Linked DNA regions of Drosophila melanogaster. The protein of the gene in region 2 interacts with the protein of the main gene of each other region in a pairwise test. Each region holds a gene or a part of one and is shown on either strand. Other genes may lie near its edges. The genes, in order: Pvf3, CG5783, CG43658 and CycY.

Region 1 (4,865 bases), about 11 Mb from region 2:
AATTGTTATTGTTGTTGCATTTTGTTGATTTTCGTTGCCGTTCTGACTGGTTTCAATTAGCCAGGCCGCCATTGTGAATGGCTAGCGGTCAGCCAAAAAGTGCCGAATTGGCAAAAGCCAGCTGCTATCCTTTCCCCTCCTCCTTCACCTTCACCGCCCCCCCTTTCAACCTTTGCCGCATTGTGTAAACATTTGCCATGAGCACCAAAACACAAAGTAAAGCTACATGTCTGTTTTTGTTGTAAGCCAAAATGCAAACGGCATTAGCCATGGTCAGTGCGTTATGCCGAGGTGAGTAATGGCAGTGCACTGCGAGAATTTTCTAGCTACGAAATGAAAGTGAGAGTTCTGGAATCAACCAATTCATCTTCACAATGATAAACGAATACAATTGCAACACAACTCATTCTAATTTAGATATTTACATACTTCTTATTTGTAGACAATCTCGATAGCTTAGATACCATTATTTGGCTCAGTGCACTTGAACATCTATTTGTTTACTGACGGATTTTCGGCGTGACTAACCATCAGCAACAAATGAAAATCATACGTGAAACCGAAACCAGAATCACAGTCTGGCCCCAAAAGATTGGTTGGTCATTTGTGGCCACAATCACTACTATCGCTGTCTGTTTATGAACGGAATCTCTTATCAGGGGCTCTCCAAGCAGCCCCACAGCCAAATCCCACATAATGGAGCAATGTCAGAGCAACAACAATGGCTAATGACATCATGAAATCGGCGGGATGCCGCAGACTTATCAGTGAATTCAGAACAATGGGCGCAATGCCAGACTCACCTCATTCTCAATGTTCCTTATGAGAGGGGTATTCCGGCTCTTCTCTCGCATCGCCAGTAGTTCTTTCTGGTGTTTCTGCTGCCTGAGATGGTGTTGGTGCTCGATTTTGTTCCACTGTTCATTGGAGAAGCCCTCCTCCGACTCGGAGTCTGAATCCTCATTGGAGTCGTCCTCTTCGCCACCGCCATTCTTTAGATTCGCATCAATTAATTGCAGTTTTGGCCTTTCGGTTCGCATTATTGTGGGCTTTACTGTGCTGGTTGTTGAGGTTGTTGTTGTCGTTGAAGTAGTTGTGATGTGTGGCTTTTTAACAGCCTCTTTTTCCCTATCATGTTTGAACAGCCAATCGAATATATTCCGCTTGCCAGCAGACTTGTCGTGCGGATTGGCCACGCTGGGATACTTGTTGCTGTTGCGATTGCTACTCGAAACTATGTCCAGTTCATCCGACTGGTCGTACGCATTGTAATCGGTATCCTTTAAATCGATGTGTGGCAACTTCTGGGTGAACAGCGAATATCTGGGCATTTGTCGGGCCAGTTCCTCATCAACGCCATTCGAGGTATCGCCATCCTCATCATACTCATCGTAGTCATCTTCGTCATCCTCATCGCTGTCCTCGTCGGAATCACTCGAGTCCACCTCCTGTCGCCAATTGGGACCTCTGGTGGTTCGAGGCTCAGCCCAGGATGGAAAGATGCCGTCCCTGTCAAAATAGCGACTGTGATTGGAGATCAGGCCATGGTGCCTGGTTGTGGGTGCCTCGGTGGTCATTAGGTTCTTGGCCGTGCTCGGTCCGATGGACAAGCGGTGCTGCTGATGACGCAGCGAGGGAAATACCCGCTGCTCCCAGCTCGCATGATGACGATTGTGATGACGCAAGTGATGCTGCTGCATGGGCAATTGGGGATCGAGGAAGGCCTTCTTCTCGACATCCTCGATCGGCGGCTGATGGTTGCCCTCCAGTTCGGCCCGCAGATGCTGTTCGTGCCGCAAATGATGATGGTGCTGCTGATGGGCCTCCAGTTGTTGCGCCTCCTGCAATTGCTGCAATCTCTGCTGCTGATGGGGACTTCGATGACCGCCAGTCGGGGCTACTGTGGTCATCACAGGTGCTCCCTTTAGATCACTGCTATTGGCCCAGACGAGGGGCACTAGTATCAGAACTAGCCAATGCATTTCGAAGATCGTTGCGTTTCACCGCGGGGATTTTATTGTTTTATATTGGCCTTTTTTTCTAGGAATACTCTGCTCTTTGTGTCGATATTTTTCACATGCGTTTGTTGGCACTTGCCTTTGTCGTTTGTTTTGTTTAAAACATTTCCCTTTGTCCCACAATCCGCAATTAATATTGTCACTTTTTGTTTTGACACTTGTTGAAAGTTAAAATAATTCGTTATTACCGGCTTAAAATGGAATATTAATTGTTCAGAGTTGGAATTAAGTCGTTTATTTTTTCGTAAATGGAATTTTAATTGTTCTCGTAAAAAATGTTTTACTGGATGTTAATTTTTATATGTCATTAAAATATTACTCGGGGTCTTTGTTAATTATACCATTGCATTTATAGCTTTATTTATGCGTTGTGTGAGATTCCTAGAAACTTCATTTAAGTATTAAGATAACATTTTATTTTTTTTTCATTTCAATATGTTTATTCTTTATTGTAATTTATAGGTATTCCATATACCGCGACGTCAATTTATTTTTTATTTATCTCTTTTTTATTGTCGTTTTCAATTGTATTTCCAAATATTAGCACTTCAACACTAATCACCACAAATCATTCATTTTTTTTTATAATATTCTTTATTCTTTTTCCTTTGATCTTTTGCCAATTTGTTCACACACTCAGTGATTAATGGTTATTAAATTCTTAGCTTTAACCAATTACCGCGGCCATAAATCCGCCGCAGAATCCGCGCGCGACTTTTGACGCGATGCCAGGAGGCAAGAAAAACACACCCACCAATCCACTCACGCACATCCGAGTATATATCTCCGGAGTATATATCTGTATGTGCGATGCTTTAGCGCTTGTTTGTGCAATGATTTGTTTGTTTTGATTTCCAGTGCCAGATGGCGGAGTTCCATAGGAATAGATGGAGATATGGCACTTCCGTTTGGCTCCGGTAAATGGTAAGTTCAGATCGCGTGGCTCCACGTAGGGGCGGACAAATCCACAGTTCCCGACGTTCAGATAACGACTGACACACGGATTCCGTATGGATTTCAGTCGCGGCAGATGCGCATTGGCAACACATGTTGCGATCCACAAAAGAGCATCTAGTCGCAACATGATGCCAGCAACATGAGGCGACAGCGGGAAAACTGAAAACTACGACAAAATCTATTACCAATCCGGCTGATCAGCCTGGAAATTCGTTAGTCTAACCAGTTTAAGAGGCAGAATATAATTTCAGTCGGACATTGTGCATGTAGCGTCATAAAATAAAATGTCAGCAGCAATCTCCCACACAATCTGGAACTTCTGTAAGTTGTACACTTCTACAAAAAAGAAAAGGATACGTTAAGGATAATGGAAACAAACATTTTAAGATCAATCCTAAAAATATTTTTTAAAAAATTTTACTATCTTTATTTAAGTTCGAATAACTGCCTAGTTAATTTAATTTATTTTTAGAAGTGTTATGTAATATATTTTTCCTTAGTGCAGCAATCATCTTCATCTGAAGCCTAACAGCAGCTTTGGCTGTACGCCCATGTCTTCTACTTTCGCTGAGTTGTCTGAGAACTTCTTCTGAAGTTGTTTAATTCTCAAGATTGTTGTGCGTTGGCTGCTGATTTTTGCTCCTCGTGTGGGCAGTGGGCACAGACTTCATTCATTACATAATAATAATAATGAGATGGATTTTTATTTCCACCTCCAACACAGATCTTCTGTTGGTTTTACCGAACCACAAAATGTGTGATTTCCAAGAACTCTAGACTTTAATATCCTTGAACGGCGGACAAGTCGCATTGAAGAACAAATTTTCCAACTAATTGCCATTAAACGAAATGTGTATAAAAACGAAAAGGTTTCCACCCGTGAGTCACCGATTTTAGAACGAGTAAACTTCTTAGCATGATCATAAAAAATGTGGCCCGTCCTAAGACTGATCGATGATAAAAGAGTCGAGAAAAAAGAAGGGGTTGGAGCCTGAAATGAAGACTTAAAGAACATTTTATTATTCTCCTAACCATATTTCCATAGCCGGAAAATTGATTTTCAACGCTGGGCGTGCAAATAGGATTTGTCAGGCGATCAATAAAAGATATGTGAGGTTCCCACTAAATCAAAGATGATACGATAGCTGATTATAGCGAATTATTGTTGATAGATAGTCGCAGTGAATTAGTTCTTCAGGTTCTTTATAGTTATGTTCTCTCCCTTTGTCGATCTTTAAATACTTCCCCGTCCCAAAAATTTTTCTTATGGCCTTTCTTGTTTGATTTTTTTAAGCTCCAAGGCAAACAAGTTTCGTTTTCTTTCGTTTGAAGATTGTAAAGATTGTTATATCATTGTTTGATGTGTGTACATTGTGTTTGCTTTGGGGTGAGTTTCGGTAGGTGATAAGCTATAAAGCCACATGTGCGATTTGCTTATAAAAGCCTATAGAGGGTGTTGAATCTAACGCTCAATTTGGTTACGTATGATTTCAGACAATGAGGCATGGAATCTTGTAAAAAATAAAATTAGTTTGCCCAAATATATACCTACATCTAATCTTATAGCATATATATGTTTTTTAAGAGAAGTTATTGATTATTATATCAGTAACGTTTCGGTAAACTCATATACAATTAAGTTTATCAAAAATATCAGGCATCACATATGCGCCCACAACCCATTTTTCGGGGTTAAGCCCCTAAGCCAAGTTAAGTCAACTAATTTGCAACATTCTCAACTTCTCAACAAGTTTTCAACGACGACTCCCCGAAAACTAAGTCCGTGCAGCAGTAAGAGGCAATTTAATAATCATGAGGCAATTTACATTGCACTTCACTTCAGTTGAGCGCGTCCCCAACTTCGACCGTTTTCCAACCCTTTTCCCACAG
Region 2 (3,435 bases):
TAAACAACAGTGCTGCCTGTCGTGTGTTTGAGAAACTCAACTTCAGGTTGATCCAGGACGAACACTACTACTGGAGCATGATTAAGCCAGCAGCAGGAGGCCAGATATCTTGGCCCTGCGACGAATAGGGCCCACACCGTTAGTATTATTGGCCAGAAATTGCTTACAAATGAATTGTTTGTATACCTTATATACCTTTGTAGTTGTAACCTTAAGAAATATATTCTTCAAACTAAGTACAGATGATGCTTGACGAGCTGCACTTCTATTTGGATATTTGATCGGAAAGGTTGTTTCGCTTGAAGTAAGTGTGCAGTCAGTTGAGAGCTAGCTTTTAGCCAGCTAAATATTTTCACAATTCCCCATTGCTGACTCAGTTTTAACTGCCACTTAGCAAATGATTCTGATCACATTCAAGCCAAAAGGCTTTCGGATATCTTGATCCGGCAGGGAATAGGCCCAGACAGCAAATAGAGATACAGCAAAGTCTACAGCGGCTAATATGCAAAATATCTAGAAGGTGCCCTGCTATCTCAGTGTATAAATTGAATCACCGTCTAGTTGCCAGGGATCAGTTTTCGAAATGGATCGTCTGCAGCAGGTCGGCGTTCAGCAGTTGGGTGATCTGAAGCGTGTTTTCACCCGGGAATGGCCAAAATACTGCAAGGAGTACTACTGCCTGGACACGTTTCTGGAGCTATATAAAAAGGACGATCAGCTGAAGGATGTGCAAGTCTATGCTCTTCCCAATCTAGAGCTCGGAATATTTGTGATCGTGGTATGAATGCGGTTGGTGGTTGTGCGATCTTTTATTTAATTTTTATGTGGATCGTTAAGGATCACTATCAGATATTTGTGGGCTTCCTGGAAGCTGAACAATCAGAAAGCCTTTTCAAGGAGTCCTTACTCAAGTTTAAGCTCTATGGAGGCGAACAGTTCGCCTCAATGCCAAAAAGGTATTTCAATGTTGCCAACGACATTATTCAAGCGAAGAATCTGAAACTAGATCTCGACTGTGTAACACTTTCCCTGGTCTTGAGCAAAGAGGAAGCCCTGCTTTTTCAAGTAGAGTAAGTTCATCCAAAAATATATATAGTGCATGTGCCTAATAAACCGCTCTAAACTTTAACAGACCTCCAGCCGGATTTTCCCTTAAGCCGGTAGATATAGACGATGCTCAGGTGATTAATGATCAATGGGAATGGAGTGAGCCGGATTCCCTTTCCGTGGTCCGCCGTCAAATTCTGTATGACACAGAAAGAAATTCATGCTATTAGAAATAAATTCTCAATTACTATTACTTCGCAGGGCTCCAGATGGCTTATTGGCAGTCCTTCAGGTCAAGACGACCTACAAACGCAGAGGCTTCGGCCAACTGATTGTGAAGGAATTTGCGAGACAAGAGGCTCTGCTGGGACGCGATACAATCACCGAAGTGGTTCCGGAAAACAAGGCATCCTTGGGCCTGTTCACCAAACTGGGCTTTAAAATCAACGACCAGTGTCACTGGCTGATGACGGAGCCGCCAAAAGGAGTTCGATAAGATTAAGGACTTGTTTATCTGTAAATGTTATTTTTTTTGTAGATTTAAATTATTAAAGCTGATAAGTTTTAGCAGCTGGCAAAAAATGTACTGGCTGGCCATAAGAAAACCACACGTAAGAGAATCTAACGATTTGAAGAGATTGCATGAAGAGAAATAGACAAGCTGCTTGATTGAGTCACCCAAACAACAATCAAATGAGCCATTTTCACTCGGTCGCTCGAAGGGGAAGATTGTTTCGCTCGACCAATATGGGTACTCGATTAGAAGTTATTGGGCTGAAAGATATCCAGGAGTTCCAACAGCTCTACAAGCAAAACTGGCCAAAATATTGCCAGGAATACTACTGCCTTGATAACTTTGTGGAATTTCTGAAAAAACAGCCCCATATGAGGAATATTAAGATGTACACATTGGATGCAAAACAAGCCAGAGATGAAGGTCTTTTTGTTATAGTGGTGAGTTCTACATATATGTATAGACTGCAACTCACTAAGAGAGGCGGCCCTCTCTTAGGATCGCTATCAACTATTCGTAGGTTGCTTGAACAACACGAACGGCCTTGTTGGAAAAGCTCTGGATTTACTGGACTGGTCGTCGGGTTTGAAATGCAGTTCTATACCCTCCAGACACATTGGTGCCCTGGATAGTCTGGTGGAGTCCAAAAAGTTGAATCTGGTGTACAGGGACTGCACGAATTTGTTTTTTATGAAAGCCAACGACGCTCTCAAGCTGAAAGTCGAGTAAGAAATAATAATCCATTTAACATAACGAGTTTTATATGATCTAAGTCTTGTAGACCTCCATCTGGATTTGTTTTAAAGTCGTTGAGTGTGGCAGATGCTCCATTGGTTAACGCAGAGTGGCCCAATCATCATGAGGGATCTTTGTTCTTCGTAGAAAGGCAGATTCGCCTGTGCGTCAGTGTTGGATTGTACCAGGAAGACACCCAGGAACTAGTTGCCTGGTGCATTAGGTAAGACGAATGTATTTTTATAAAGACACATTACCTGATATCGAAATCTGTAGGTTACAAGGCGGCTACTTGGGCGCCCTGCAAGTCAAAGATACACACAAGCGACGCGGATTTGGCAGTGTGGTGACTAGGGAAATAGCATACCGCCTAGCCGTCCAAGGTCACGATGTAATGGCTCTCGTGGGCCCCTCGAATAAGCCGTCATCGGAGATGTTCAGCAAACTGGGATTCCAGGTCATCGATCAATGCTACTGGCTAAGGACGGAACCCACCGGTGGGCAGTTCACATGGCCCGAGGGCGAGTAATTGGTGTTTAAATGTCTGTATTAAAATATTACGACTTTCGGTTGTATATGAATACAAGTATTGGTATAAAAATATGCCGAGGCATTTGAGCTGTGCTTATTCTAAAACTCTAAACGAGCGAGCAATCCCTGGCAGCGATCTTCTAATTGGAGGGGACTACACTGGATAGTCGGATCCTCTGTTAGAGTCCGGGTGATCTTCCATAAGCACTCGAGATCGTATTGCACATGATAATCGTTCATTGTGTAACTATCGAATAGTAAAAATTTGGTGGCTACGGTTCCCTCTGCCAATCGGCGAGCGGCTATAAACTCCAGTAGTTCTATAAAATCGAGGTAGTTGATACCAAAGCTGGCCCTCAGCATTGTCTGGCAGTGGGCCTCAAAGTTGTCCATCTGCTGGCAGTCGGAGATCTCATTGCAAACGGCCTTCAGGTTGTTCTTAAGGTTTTGCCAGACCATGGATATGTTGCAGCCATTGAACCAGTTGTGATTGACGGATATGGTGTCTGTTAGGTTCCACACCTGATGAAACCAGCCACTGGGCACGAAAACAGCTTCATTGGCCCGCTGATTAATGGTGTAATATCGCACGTTGTGCTCATCCAGCA
Region 3 (5,022 bases), on a different chromosome or scaffold from region 2:
ACCTCTGGCTGCAAAAAAAGAGAATTCAGGATAAAAGATGGGCCTTACAACGTCTGCGAAACTGGTTGGAAGAAGAAGCTGATGTTCTTCTCCCTCTCCTTCATCTTCTTGTTCTTGGCCAGCTCTGCTTCTTCCCAGTATGCAATTACACATTTTATTATTATTAACGTTAATGTCGCCCATGGGAGGGCACTAACGCCCGGCTCCACATAAAAGGCGCTTATTAATAAGAAATTGCAATAAACTACAAGACACAGCAGAACGTACAGCAATCCGTTGCTACACTACAAGAATTTTGCATATGTGCTATTTCGCGCAAGAAAATGTAAACTGAAATTAATACATTTCATTTCGCAGAACCATTTTTAATTATTCTTATACGTTCTTTATTTTTATATATTAATTATTCATTTAAGTTATATATGAGTAAATTTGTAATGCTTTTAGACGTTCAAGGCCACACTTTTTTTAAGTGCATTCCGGTACGCTGGCGCTTAAAGGAGCAACAGCTGGCGTATGAGTGAGAGGCCAGACGGTGGGAGAGGGGCACCGAAACAGAAGAGAGTGTGAGAAAGGGAAAGAGAGATCCCAGCCGGCGAATGCGCGGCAAAAACAAAAGGCAACGGGAGAAGCTCGGCGAAACAGCTGGCGAAGAAAGTCGCTCTCTTTGGCTTATCTCTTTTTAACCCTCTTCTGCCTGCCATTGCTTTTCTTAACCCTTGCGTATCCTTGTTGAGAGTAAATCAAGCGCTCCACATATTTTATTAAGTTGGAAACCAGTAATAAAGTAGGAAGCTCGCTGCCAGCTGCAGCTCACACACACACCTACACGCACACACTAACCGATGCACTCTTCTCCGGCGCTGGGGTTGCTGTTGTTGCACTGCCTGCTGCACGCGCGAAAATGCTAAGTTGCCAGGAGCGGATTCAGTTGGTTGGCTGCATATATGACAACCAACGAAGATTTTCTAACTCAGTATTAGTTAGACCATCATTTCGAGAAAACAGAAAAGTATAAACTTTTTTTCCGTATCATCGCAGTTATGAACCAAGCAGACTTAATTTTTTTTGTAACAAAACTAATAGATCGGCTTAGATTGATGAACTAACAAAATTAATCAGGTAACCGTATTCCCATAAAACATTGCCTACTTTTTCGGGCATTAGGTAAACTACAATATAAACTATACCCTGCACCGTTTTGAAAGTGATCCGCACCTGTTCTGAAGCATTTTCTGCTCTCTCCCTCGCTTCCCTTCTTCGATCCCACTCTTCGTAGAGGCTCAAAACGTGCGCCTAACAAAATGCCGGTTTAAGTTTTGCGTTGTTTGGCGTATACGTAATGCAAAAGGAGAGCGAGAGTAGTGTGCCGAAAACGAGAGAGTGTGTGAGAGAGCGGAAAAGAGCGCGCGCGTCGCTAGTTGCTTTTCGTCTGATTGGAACTCCAAACTCCAATTCCAGCTCCAACTCCTACTACAAATACAACTACAGCTCCACTGCATCAGCATGTTGTTGTTGCTGCTTTAGCTGTTTTTTGTTTTTGTTTCATCTGGCAGTTCTTGTTCCTTTCCTTCTGCACTCCATTCGCACACTAGCTCAGGTCCACAGCAGCAGTCAAAGCAATAGCAGCTACAACTGCGCAGCTATTAAATGTTTTCAAAATACCAAAGTTCTTAAAAAAATATGTATACTAATTATGTTTTTTTGATAAAATAATGTTTAAGCTATTTCAAAGATTGAAACCAATTTTATGGTTTGTGATGTGCATTGTTAAATTAAATTACTTACTTACTTACACTTACTTTTTAGCAATACTAAGTTCACAATAAACGTCGCTTCCATTCAATCATTAACTTAAAACAAGCTCTAAGCCATTTGGGCATTAATTCTTTTTCCGTGCCTGTGGCGAGCAAACTGCATTTGCGGCACTGCCGGCGTCGTCGACGTGGGGACGTCGCTGCGTCCGTGGGATTCGGCCGCAGTTGGATTTTGGTGCTGCTCGCGCGAGGACGTCTCCTCTCCTTAAACTTCTGCTGGGGCTCTCTTCGAAGAGAGCGCTAATCCTGCGAAGAGCGTCGTTTTTAAGTCGCGATCAGAAACAACAGTAACCACAACCTGGTGGCCAGCAATTCTTACCAGTTTTTAGAAAGAGCCACGAAAAAAATGAAGTAGTGTGAAATATTATATTTTCATTTTGTGTGTGCGTGTGTGTGCGGTTTTCCTTTAATTTCGTTACACTTCTTTTTTTTTGCGATTTTTGTTTATGTGCCAAACTAGTTTCGAGTTCATTGAATTTGCGGCGCCGTTGTCAACCGATCGTTGCTGAAAACGTAAGTGCAGCTTTTTAAGTAGCTAAGGATGCGTTTGCCGCAGGACATTTGCGGTCACGTGGCAGCTGCCGCCACCTGCGAAAACCGCAAAACGAAAAAGCCGCCAAAACATTAGCACTTGAATGGAAAAGTATTTCGCAAATTAGTTAAATAAGGGTTATAAAAGTGGCAGAAAAAGTATTTGTAGTGCACCAAAATTGAATATTTTTTTCCTTAGAACTGGAAGCGTTGTCTGTGTTTTTTAAACAATAATTGGCATGAAATTTCAAAAAATCGAAAATCATATACTTGACCGAAAAAAAAAGAAAAATATTACGTGAATTTATTTTATGTATATTAAGTTGTAACTTTAGGGCTTAAATCGCGATATAAAGTTTTCACATATTATATTTTCTGAACATCTCTTTTTAGACACTTTCTTAAAATACAAATAAATTTCAGAGTTGTCAATTTTTGGGTGAGAGCAGGTTTCCCCTTTTTAGCAGACTCACTACATACATTTATATTAACAACAATAACTTGGCTCTTTTGTCTCACAAGCAATTGGCTCGAAATGTTGTCGCGTCGCCCTTAGCTGTATCCTTTGTTTGGTCCTTGGCCATTAGGATCCCTTTTAATTAAGATGAATAACTTGCAGTTTTTATACGCCACAGAAATCGAAATTTCATCGCCGGCATTTGGTTGTTGCTTTATAAAGAGCTTTAAAACCAAACTTTTAAAGCATGGAAATAATTTAGTTTTTGTCGAAATACGTTAATAAACCTTCAGATAAGATTTACTGTTTGTTTATTTGTTTGTACAATTTATTACTTTGTCCATTTTTTTTTTTACTTTTTGTTGTACTTTGCTAGAAGTTTCCATCTCAAAGCGTTAAGTTTTTCTAGCATTTTGGCACAGCTTAAAAGTTGGCAAGTGCCAAAAGTTCAAGCGCGCTGCTCACCTTTCAATTAGCCGGGAATTCAGAGCGAATCTAATTAGTTGGCCAACATGGTGGTGGAAAGTGACGAGTCCTCTGATTTCCTGGCTCCCTGATTGCTTCCAAAAGCTGATCGATCATCAAAAGACACAACCGCCACGCAAAAAGGTAGCAAAAAGTAAACAAACTAAAAATCAAGCTACCGAAACAAAAAATGTACGAATTCTGGACTGTCGAAATGTTTTGGCAGTTTCAGCAGGGTGCTGTTAAAAAATGAATTCAGGAATTTCAGAAGTGTGGCCAATCATCAAACTGAATGAAGAAAAAAGTGCCCCTTTGGTTGACTCTTCCTGTTACATTTCACAAAGAAACATAAACGAATAGAAAGGAAAGTTGTATATTATAATCTTAGATATATTAACCGATAAATGTCAAAAATGTGTGTGTGACACGCAGTAAAGAATGTTAAATTGAATTAGGGGAAAAAGTATTACAAAAAAAAAAACAAAGTTCTTTGAATACCAGTTCATTACATTTTTTGTACATTACTTGACGAATGTAAGGACCTTTTAAGCAACCGAAAAATGCAAACAATTTGAGCAGCCCTCCGCTGATTTCGCTTATTAACTAAAATAAATCCGTCCAAACGGAAAGGTGCAGAAGGACAGGGCCGTTGGCCAAGTGCTACTGGCCAACTAGCTGACCATTTCCCTGTTTTGCCTTTTTTTTGTGTTTTTTTTTTTTTGTTAGCCTAGCTGCTGCTGCTTTATGTTTGCCTTTTATTTTGGCCACAAGTTCTAGTTAGTACGAGGCGGACGAAGGCGAGTTCATAGAGCCAAAAGAACCGGTCTTGGAAAGTCGTCTAAATGTTTCTCTTACCTTCGGGCACTGCAAGAAAAAACTAATTACGAAATAAGAGATATATAAAACATTTGGTTTAATGTGATCAGACCATCACGGTAGATTTAACTATCTTGGTGCGCTTCGTCACAACGTGGACTGCAAGCCTAAAAGATTTCCTAATCAGTATTACCTAACTATTAAAGTCATGATAAATGAATTAATGAAAATGAGGATGTGCTTCTCGAAAACCAGACTCGGCATGAAGTTCCCATGCTTTTTTATCAGTGCACCTTTTTATCCCCGTCCAAGTCGAAGTCCGAGACTTTTCGATGTCGATGCTGAAGGCCCACTAAAATGTCTGGCTGTGTGAGTGTGCGAGTGTGTAGTGGCTCCTTCCACGGAGTATTCATTCCCAGAGGAATGTGTTAAAGTGTCTAAAGCTGTTTGCCTTCCCCCCGAACGCGCCCCCCCCCTCCCCCACCTCAACCATCCATCCAAATCGCCAAATAGAAAATTCTGAACTCGAGGAGCAGCATAAAATACAAAGCCGAACGCATCAGAATGGCAACGGCGATTTATAAGATAGTCCCACAGAGCGCAGAGGAAAAATAATATCAAATATCAGGGCTTAATTGATTTTTTTCTTCGCCTTTTTACCCCTTTTTATAATGGATCTGACTCATTTGGTAGAGCTTATAAGTTATATAAGCATCATAAAAAGTACATGAAAGCTTTTTAATGCATCAAAATGTTTTTAAAATATGAATTTGCTATATGTGCTCCAATAATCTGTTAAATAGTAAAGTTAATTGCATGTGATTGCTGTTACAAAATGTTGTAATAAAATAGAGAAGGATGTACAAGGCTAAATTGCTACCTTAATATATAATAAAACATACAAGTTCTTAAAAAAAAAACGAAATCTAAATATTG
Region 4 (6,047 bases), 6.3 Mb from region 2:
GAGAGCAGAAAGTGGAGGGCTTGAGTCGCAGGAGGATTTGATTTCCTTTCGTTTCGGTTTTCCTTTTCCTTAATCAACTTGAAATGTTTTCAAACGTTTTTCAAAATGTCTGATAGCGGGACCATTCTTTTAAGATTTACCACTGCTCTTTACCAATTTGAGCAGGGCGAAAATCGTAGGGAAATTCGAGGTGGAAAAGCCGCCGAGCGATAGCAGCAGAAAGTCAAAGGGCAGTGGTAAAAGTGCTTAGCAGTAAGGTACCAAATTATCAGCTGAAATTGGGATCATAGCTTTATTAAGGTAGTCGATAAATGTACGAACAAATCGTGGTTGCAGATGTGTATAGCGGATGTCTACTAGTAGCCATAGCCACAAATTAAAAACAAACACGAACAGAACAGACAGAACAAACAAACGTACACAGCAGATTAATCTACTCCTAAACATTAATGGGATAAATATAGCGCCAGAATACCTATTATGCGGACCGTAAATATTATTGAACAACCAGTGTATGTTAGTGTATATCAAACTTGAACGCTCAAAGCGATGCGCATGCATATATCGTATATATACATATATATATATATAGCGACCTCTCTCGAAAATCTGTACAAAGTCCTGATTAATATAGCGTTAGGCTGCAGACCCTCGAACAAAACAAAAAAAAAAAAACCGAAAAAGTTGTTATTTATCTCTGTTGAAAAATGGGAAATCCACAGAAACACTAATCGAACGTATGCAAACGGATATATATAAATATATATGAGGTTTACGATTCAATGTTATTAGCAAAAAGTAGTCTAGTAGTATCATTAACACACACATAGACATATTATATAGTTCCGGCCGATGTGCAAACTTGTTAACGAGAGAAACTTAGCTGATGGAACAATATGAAATACACACTTGCATACGGTAAATAAGTTGAAAGCAATCATTACATTTAAACAATAAATATAAACTACTTAACTATAAAGTCCCTAATGGAAAAAAAATATATATAAAATACATTTTGTGTAAATACAACTTGCACAGGATGCAAAAAGATGTAGTATATTAGCGGAATGCACTCTAACTAAAGGGAATACTGTAGCCATCCCACACCAACTAAAAACCGAAGGAATCGCATATTACTGAGATCTGTAAATAACTTTGTTTCATCTGTTCATTTCTAGCCCAGTTATTTATATATCGCATAAGCAAACTAATTGTGTACTTTACAAGTTATCTCGAAACAAAAGCCTACTAATGAAACGTTTTTAATTTTCCTACTATGTTAAACTCAACATTTAATATGCATAAACTAACGGCGATGGTCTAAAAATTGCAAAACAAGTATTTGAGATAAAGGGTATATGGCTGAGATGTATGCTTATTACGAAATACTTTCAAGTAAATTATAATAACACCATATGACTTTTAATATACTAATAAAAATTCTTATTAAACCTAACTGGGGACGGTTTTTTTTTAAAGGAGTTTACATATTTTGTTTAATTAAAGGCCCGCCCTTTTTTTGAATTTAGTGCTGCCACATAGTCATGTGTGATATCGATAAGTGGCGTTTCAGTACTTTACTTATCGACTTTCTTACATTGCCCTTTTATATATCCTTTTGTTGTTATTATTGTAATTGTGAATGATCATATATTTCAGGGACTAATTTATTACTTATTAATAATATTTAAGATTTTACGCAATGTTTTTAAAACTAGGCACTAGAGCATTTATCTGGTATTTTTATACCGCAAAATGCCATCTCTTAGCCGGATGGTGTTTTTGTGCTAACCATCAACGGGCACACCGCCACTGATATCTATCGATATTTATAAAATACGATACATTTCATTTTCGAGCAGGTAATTAAACAAAAAAACGCGAGAAAACACCAAAGATGTGTGAAAAGTGTTGCATTACTACCTTGCCCAACTGACGGCCATCGCCTCATCAGTGAGATAGCCACCAATTAAGCCTAATCACCCAATAATCCCGATTTGGTAGTCATTCGTGGGTGTTTCTCCGGGCAGAGGCCGAGCAGCGCTGCCGGCGACGACAGCGGCGCCAGCGTTCATTCATTCATTCACTGCAATGATTAATGTGCGGGGAAAAAACAATTCAAGTGATTTGAGCAGAGATAGTAGGAATCTAGGAACTGGGCAATCAGCTGCCCACCCGGTGACAAATTATCCAATATCTCCGGCCTTCCGCGCCGTAAACAAAGTCACAAGCTTCGCTGCCGCCCCGCCCCTCCCAGAAATGGGAAGAAGAAGAAGAAGTTAGAGTCGTGCTCCCCACACAGAAAACAAGAAATCGGCGAAAATAAAGCAAAGACCTCGCCAAATTAGGCAATTAGGTTAATTAACTTTTCGCACAACAATCTGGCCGGCCTTTAAGCCAAAACGATTCCGCCTATAAACAGAGCAAATATAAATGGTAGATAGTGAAAATAGCACAACTTGCAGATCGAATGCTGAAATACCCTAACCAAAGTAACCCTCCTAGGCTAAGTTCGATATGCATGGCATATTTGGTTTTCGTCATGTGACTTCTTTCACGTTATTATCTTTAAAAACAACAAAGTTTTTATCATATCTACAGCTGACTTTCCCTACAATTTATATGATAGAAGTGCCCCCAAACTTTCAAATCAATCAAATAGTCAGTCTTATCAGGTCATTCAAATTTGTAGCACTAGAAAGTGTTATTAACAATAGTTTAAATGCCACCACAAGTAGTGAAAAAGTAGTCAAAACTTCTCTAAAATCGAATAGCACCCTCCCCAAAAAAGGGCAGTGCAATTAATAATGGGTTATGGGATGAGAATGAGAACAGATTTGCAGATAAGATCGAATGAAAGCCGAGGCTAAGCGTTATCTATATACATACATATACTCTTTGCAGCAAACGCTCGACGACGGGCAGCGGTAATTGTGGAGCGATAGAAACGCCAGCGCCATGCCCATAGACATAGACGCACGACGACCAAGTGCCAAAAGCGAGAACCGAGCGTGAGCGACTGCCAGGAGCAGGATCCGTAACCACGGGGTCCATCCGCTAGTCAAGAGAGAGTGAGCAAGCGAGCGAGTGAGTGCCAAGCCAAGTTTGCATTTAGTTTGAGCGCCCGACCAACCGAACCAATCCGAAACGGCAAAATGGGCAACAAGAACTCGTGCTGCGCGTACTCCAGTCCGCAGTCGGACCGCAAGTCTAAGGACATGCCGCCCGTCTTCGAGGAGCGGATTATCCAGCTGGGTCATCCGCCGCACACGTCACAGCACCAGTTGGACGGCCACCATGGATCCGCGTCGGCGGTGCACCTGCATCACCATCATCACGGCCACAATCAGCAACAGAATCAGCAGGGTGGCGGCGGTGACAACTATGAGAACCAGCAGAATCTGCAGCACATCTCCGAGCGAGAGGCGCTGGAGGGCGAGGAGGATCCGTCGGTCGATCCCACTGCAGCCACCATGTTCCTGGAACGATCAAAGGTGGAGAACGGCGGCATGACGCGCAAGCGTTCGCAACAGCAGATTGCCCAGCAGGCGGGCAGCGGCGGCGGAGGAGGCGGCGGCGGTGGCGGCGGCAGTACTCCCGGTGGCAATAGTTGCGGCGGTGGTGGCGGCATGAAGAAGAGCTCCTCCTGCTCGACGATCTATCTGGACGACAGCACTGTGTCGCAGCCGAATCTTAAGAATACGGTCAAATGCGTCTCACTGGCCATTTACTATCACATCAAGAATCGGCAATCGGATCGCCGGCTGGACATCTTCGACGAGAAGCTTCATCCGCTGACCCACGACCAGGTGCCGGATAACTATGACACGCACAATCCGGAACACCGGCAGATCTACAAGTTCGTGCGCACGCTCTTTAACGCCGCCCAGCTGACGGCCGAGTGTGCGATCATCACGCTAGTCTACCTGGAGCGGCTACTCACCTACGCCGAGCTGGATGTGGGACCCTGCAACTGGAAGCGCATGGTGTTGGGTGAGTGGAGTGCTGCAAGCATCAGATATTCAGAACAAGCAGTAGATCACTAATTTGGTATAGCTTACTAATTTCTACTATTGATGTTCTGCAGGTGCCATTCTCCTCGCCTCAAAGGTGTGGGATGACCAGGCCGTTTGGAATGTAGATTACTGCCAAATACTCAAAGACATCACCGTGGAGGACATGAACGAGCTGGAGCGCCAGTTCCTCGAGCTGCTGCAGTTCAACATCAATGTACCGTCCTCGGTGTACGCCAAATACTACTTCGACCTGCGCACGCTCGCCGAGGCCAACGAGCTCAACTTCCCCACGGAGCCGCTGTCCAAGGAGCGGGCCCAGAAGCTGGAGGCCATGTCGCGTGTGATGCAGGACAAGGTCACTGCCGAGGCACTGAAGAATGGGATCAAGAAGTGGTCCTCCATGGACAACATCAGTCAGGGCGGGCCGCGACGCAGCGTGGCCATACTATCGTGATTTATATTAGCTTACTAAAACCGAACAACCAACCAACAGCAGCAATGAGATCCGTACTCTGTAGTCCGTAGTCCGATCGAACGTCATTTGAGAACCGTAGCTCTGCGCTGAATCAGATTTTGCACACAGATTCAGATACATTTCGTAGGCCACCCGGTTGCATAAGCTTTTGCGGGTGGCTTTTTAGCCAGCACACAGACTCTAAAAGGAACACCCAAATACGTGCAGAAAGAATCACAGTCTTATATACAATATATACATACACGAAGAAAAGCGTTTTAACCACACGTCTCGAATTAAGGACCACTTTTTACATATACGTACATGCGATCGATGTATGTAAGCGAAACTACCGATGCAGTCATGGATTTGGATGATGATTTTAAACAGAGACACAGAAGTACTACTACAGCAACGCGTAACCAATTGCCAAACGAAAGATCACAGAAGCAGAAAGAGATACAGAAACCTAAACCGAACAGTAGAGAATTGTTTGTACAAAACGGCTTAAATAATATTGTAATTGACTTGGCCACCTAATCCAGCTGGCATCTAAGCAATTTAATCTCAACGGTTGGCCACGGCCACCAAATTGTCATTTACTTAGCGCGTCCGCGCCCAAAAAAAGAAAAGAAAAACATTTCCCTGTACATTTGTTACGAATTTAATTTGTTTACCTTACATCCATGTTTTCTTAATAACTCAATATGATTTCGTGTGATTCTTATATAGTTTCCATTTAGCTTTATATACGATGAACGATATTCGGCTTCCCCGCGTCAGGCTTCAGGCACAAATCGATTTTCTGGGGGCGCGGCCTGCGGCAAGTTGATTTGTTTTTTTTTGGTTCTTAGCATTAGAAAAACAAACAAAATCCGAGCGAGAGTTGCAAGGAGCACAGCGCAATATTAACCCAAAAGATTTGTGAGTAAATTAATGTACTAGACATATAAGGATACGAATTATATGCAAAATGTATTTTATTTTGTAATTTATTTTACGATAAAGCTAAATAAAAGCAAATCAAAGAAATAGACTTTCTATAACTTAGTTTTTGTCACTTTTTTTTCGAAAACGTGGGTTTTGAAAACGAAAGCGCGCTTATTCGAAGTCAAAAACATGGCCATATGAAACAGAAAGTTTTTGAAACATTTTTTTTTTTTTATATAGAAAGGACTTCTGGCTATTCTATGTATAAAAACATTTTAGAAACATATCTTATTCTAAATAAGAAGATCGATCATAGGATTTCTTTCGAAAATCGTATAAAATGTATTGTATAATCCACTTATTTTCTTTCCCTCCCACAAAATATGGATTCAAAAATCTCGAACAAGATTATGTGGAAAAGTATTGATAATCACCTAAACACATTGATTTTCAACATTATAAATACTCCACTTGCAAATGCAAAAAAAAAACTCTTTAGAAATAGTCAAGATCCTACTATTTAAGTTTATACTTTCAGAAAATCTTATAATTCCAATTACACTTTATAACTTATTAAATTTACGCTGCTAATTATTTTTATTATTTATAAAATACTTTACGAAAAACTTAATTTTCAAAGCTATCGA

The links.
Region 1: the proteins of CG5783 (region 2) and Pvf3 interact in a two-hybrid assay, tested with the Drosophila melanogaster proteins (one large-scale study listed by BioGRID).
Region 3: the proteins of CG5783 (region 2) and CG43658 interact in a two-hybrid assay, tested with the Drosophila melanogaster proteins (one large-scale study listed by BioGRID).
Region 4: the proteins of CG5783 (region 2) and CycY interact in a two-hybrid assay, tested with the Drosophila melanogaster proteins (one large-scale study listed by BioGRID).

What each region holds. Positions count from the first base shown.
Region 1 is NT_033779.5:7,154,684-7,159,548, forward strand, and holds the start of Pvf3 (PDGF- and VEGF-related factor 3), read right to left. Parts: upstream 3,013-4,865; 5' UTR 1,983-3,012; coding exon 804-1,982; intron 1-803.
Region 2 is NT_033779.5:18,154,283-18,157,717, forward strand, and holds CG5783 (uncharacterized protein), read left to right. Parts: upstream 1-1,760; 5' UTR 1,761-1,794; coding exon 1,795-2,001; intron 2,002-2,059; coding exon 2,060-2,286; intron 2,287-2,342; coding exon 2,343-2,519; intron 2,520-2,572; coding exon 2,573-2,825; 3' UTR 2,826-2,880; downstream 2,881-3,435. Other genes in the region: CG17681 (uncharacterized protein), read left to right, coding at 1-128; CG15155 (uncharacterized protein), read left to right, coding at 584-778, 838-1,070, 1,133-1,246, 1,309-1,543; JMJD4 (jumonji domain containing 4), read right to left, coding at 2,927-3,435.
Region 3 is NC_004354.4:17,558,137-17,563,158, reverse strand, and holds the start of CG43658 (uncharacterized protein), read left to right. Parts: upstream 1-1,978; 5' UTR 1,979-2,330; intron 2,331-5,022.
Region 4 is NT_033779.5:11,809,540-11,815,586, reverse strand, and holds CycY (cyclin Y), read left to right. Parts: upstream 1-1,806; 5' UTR 1,807-1,862; intron 1,863-2,904; 5' UTR 2,905-3,155; coding exon 3,156-3,993; intron 3,994-4,087; coding exon 4,088-4,470; 3' UTR 4,471-5,495; downstream 5,496-6,047.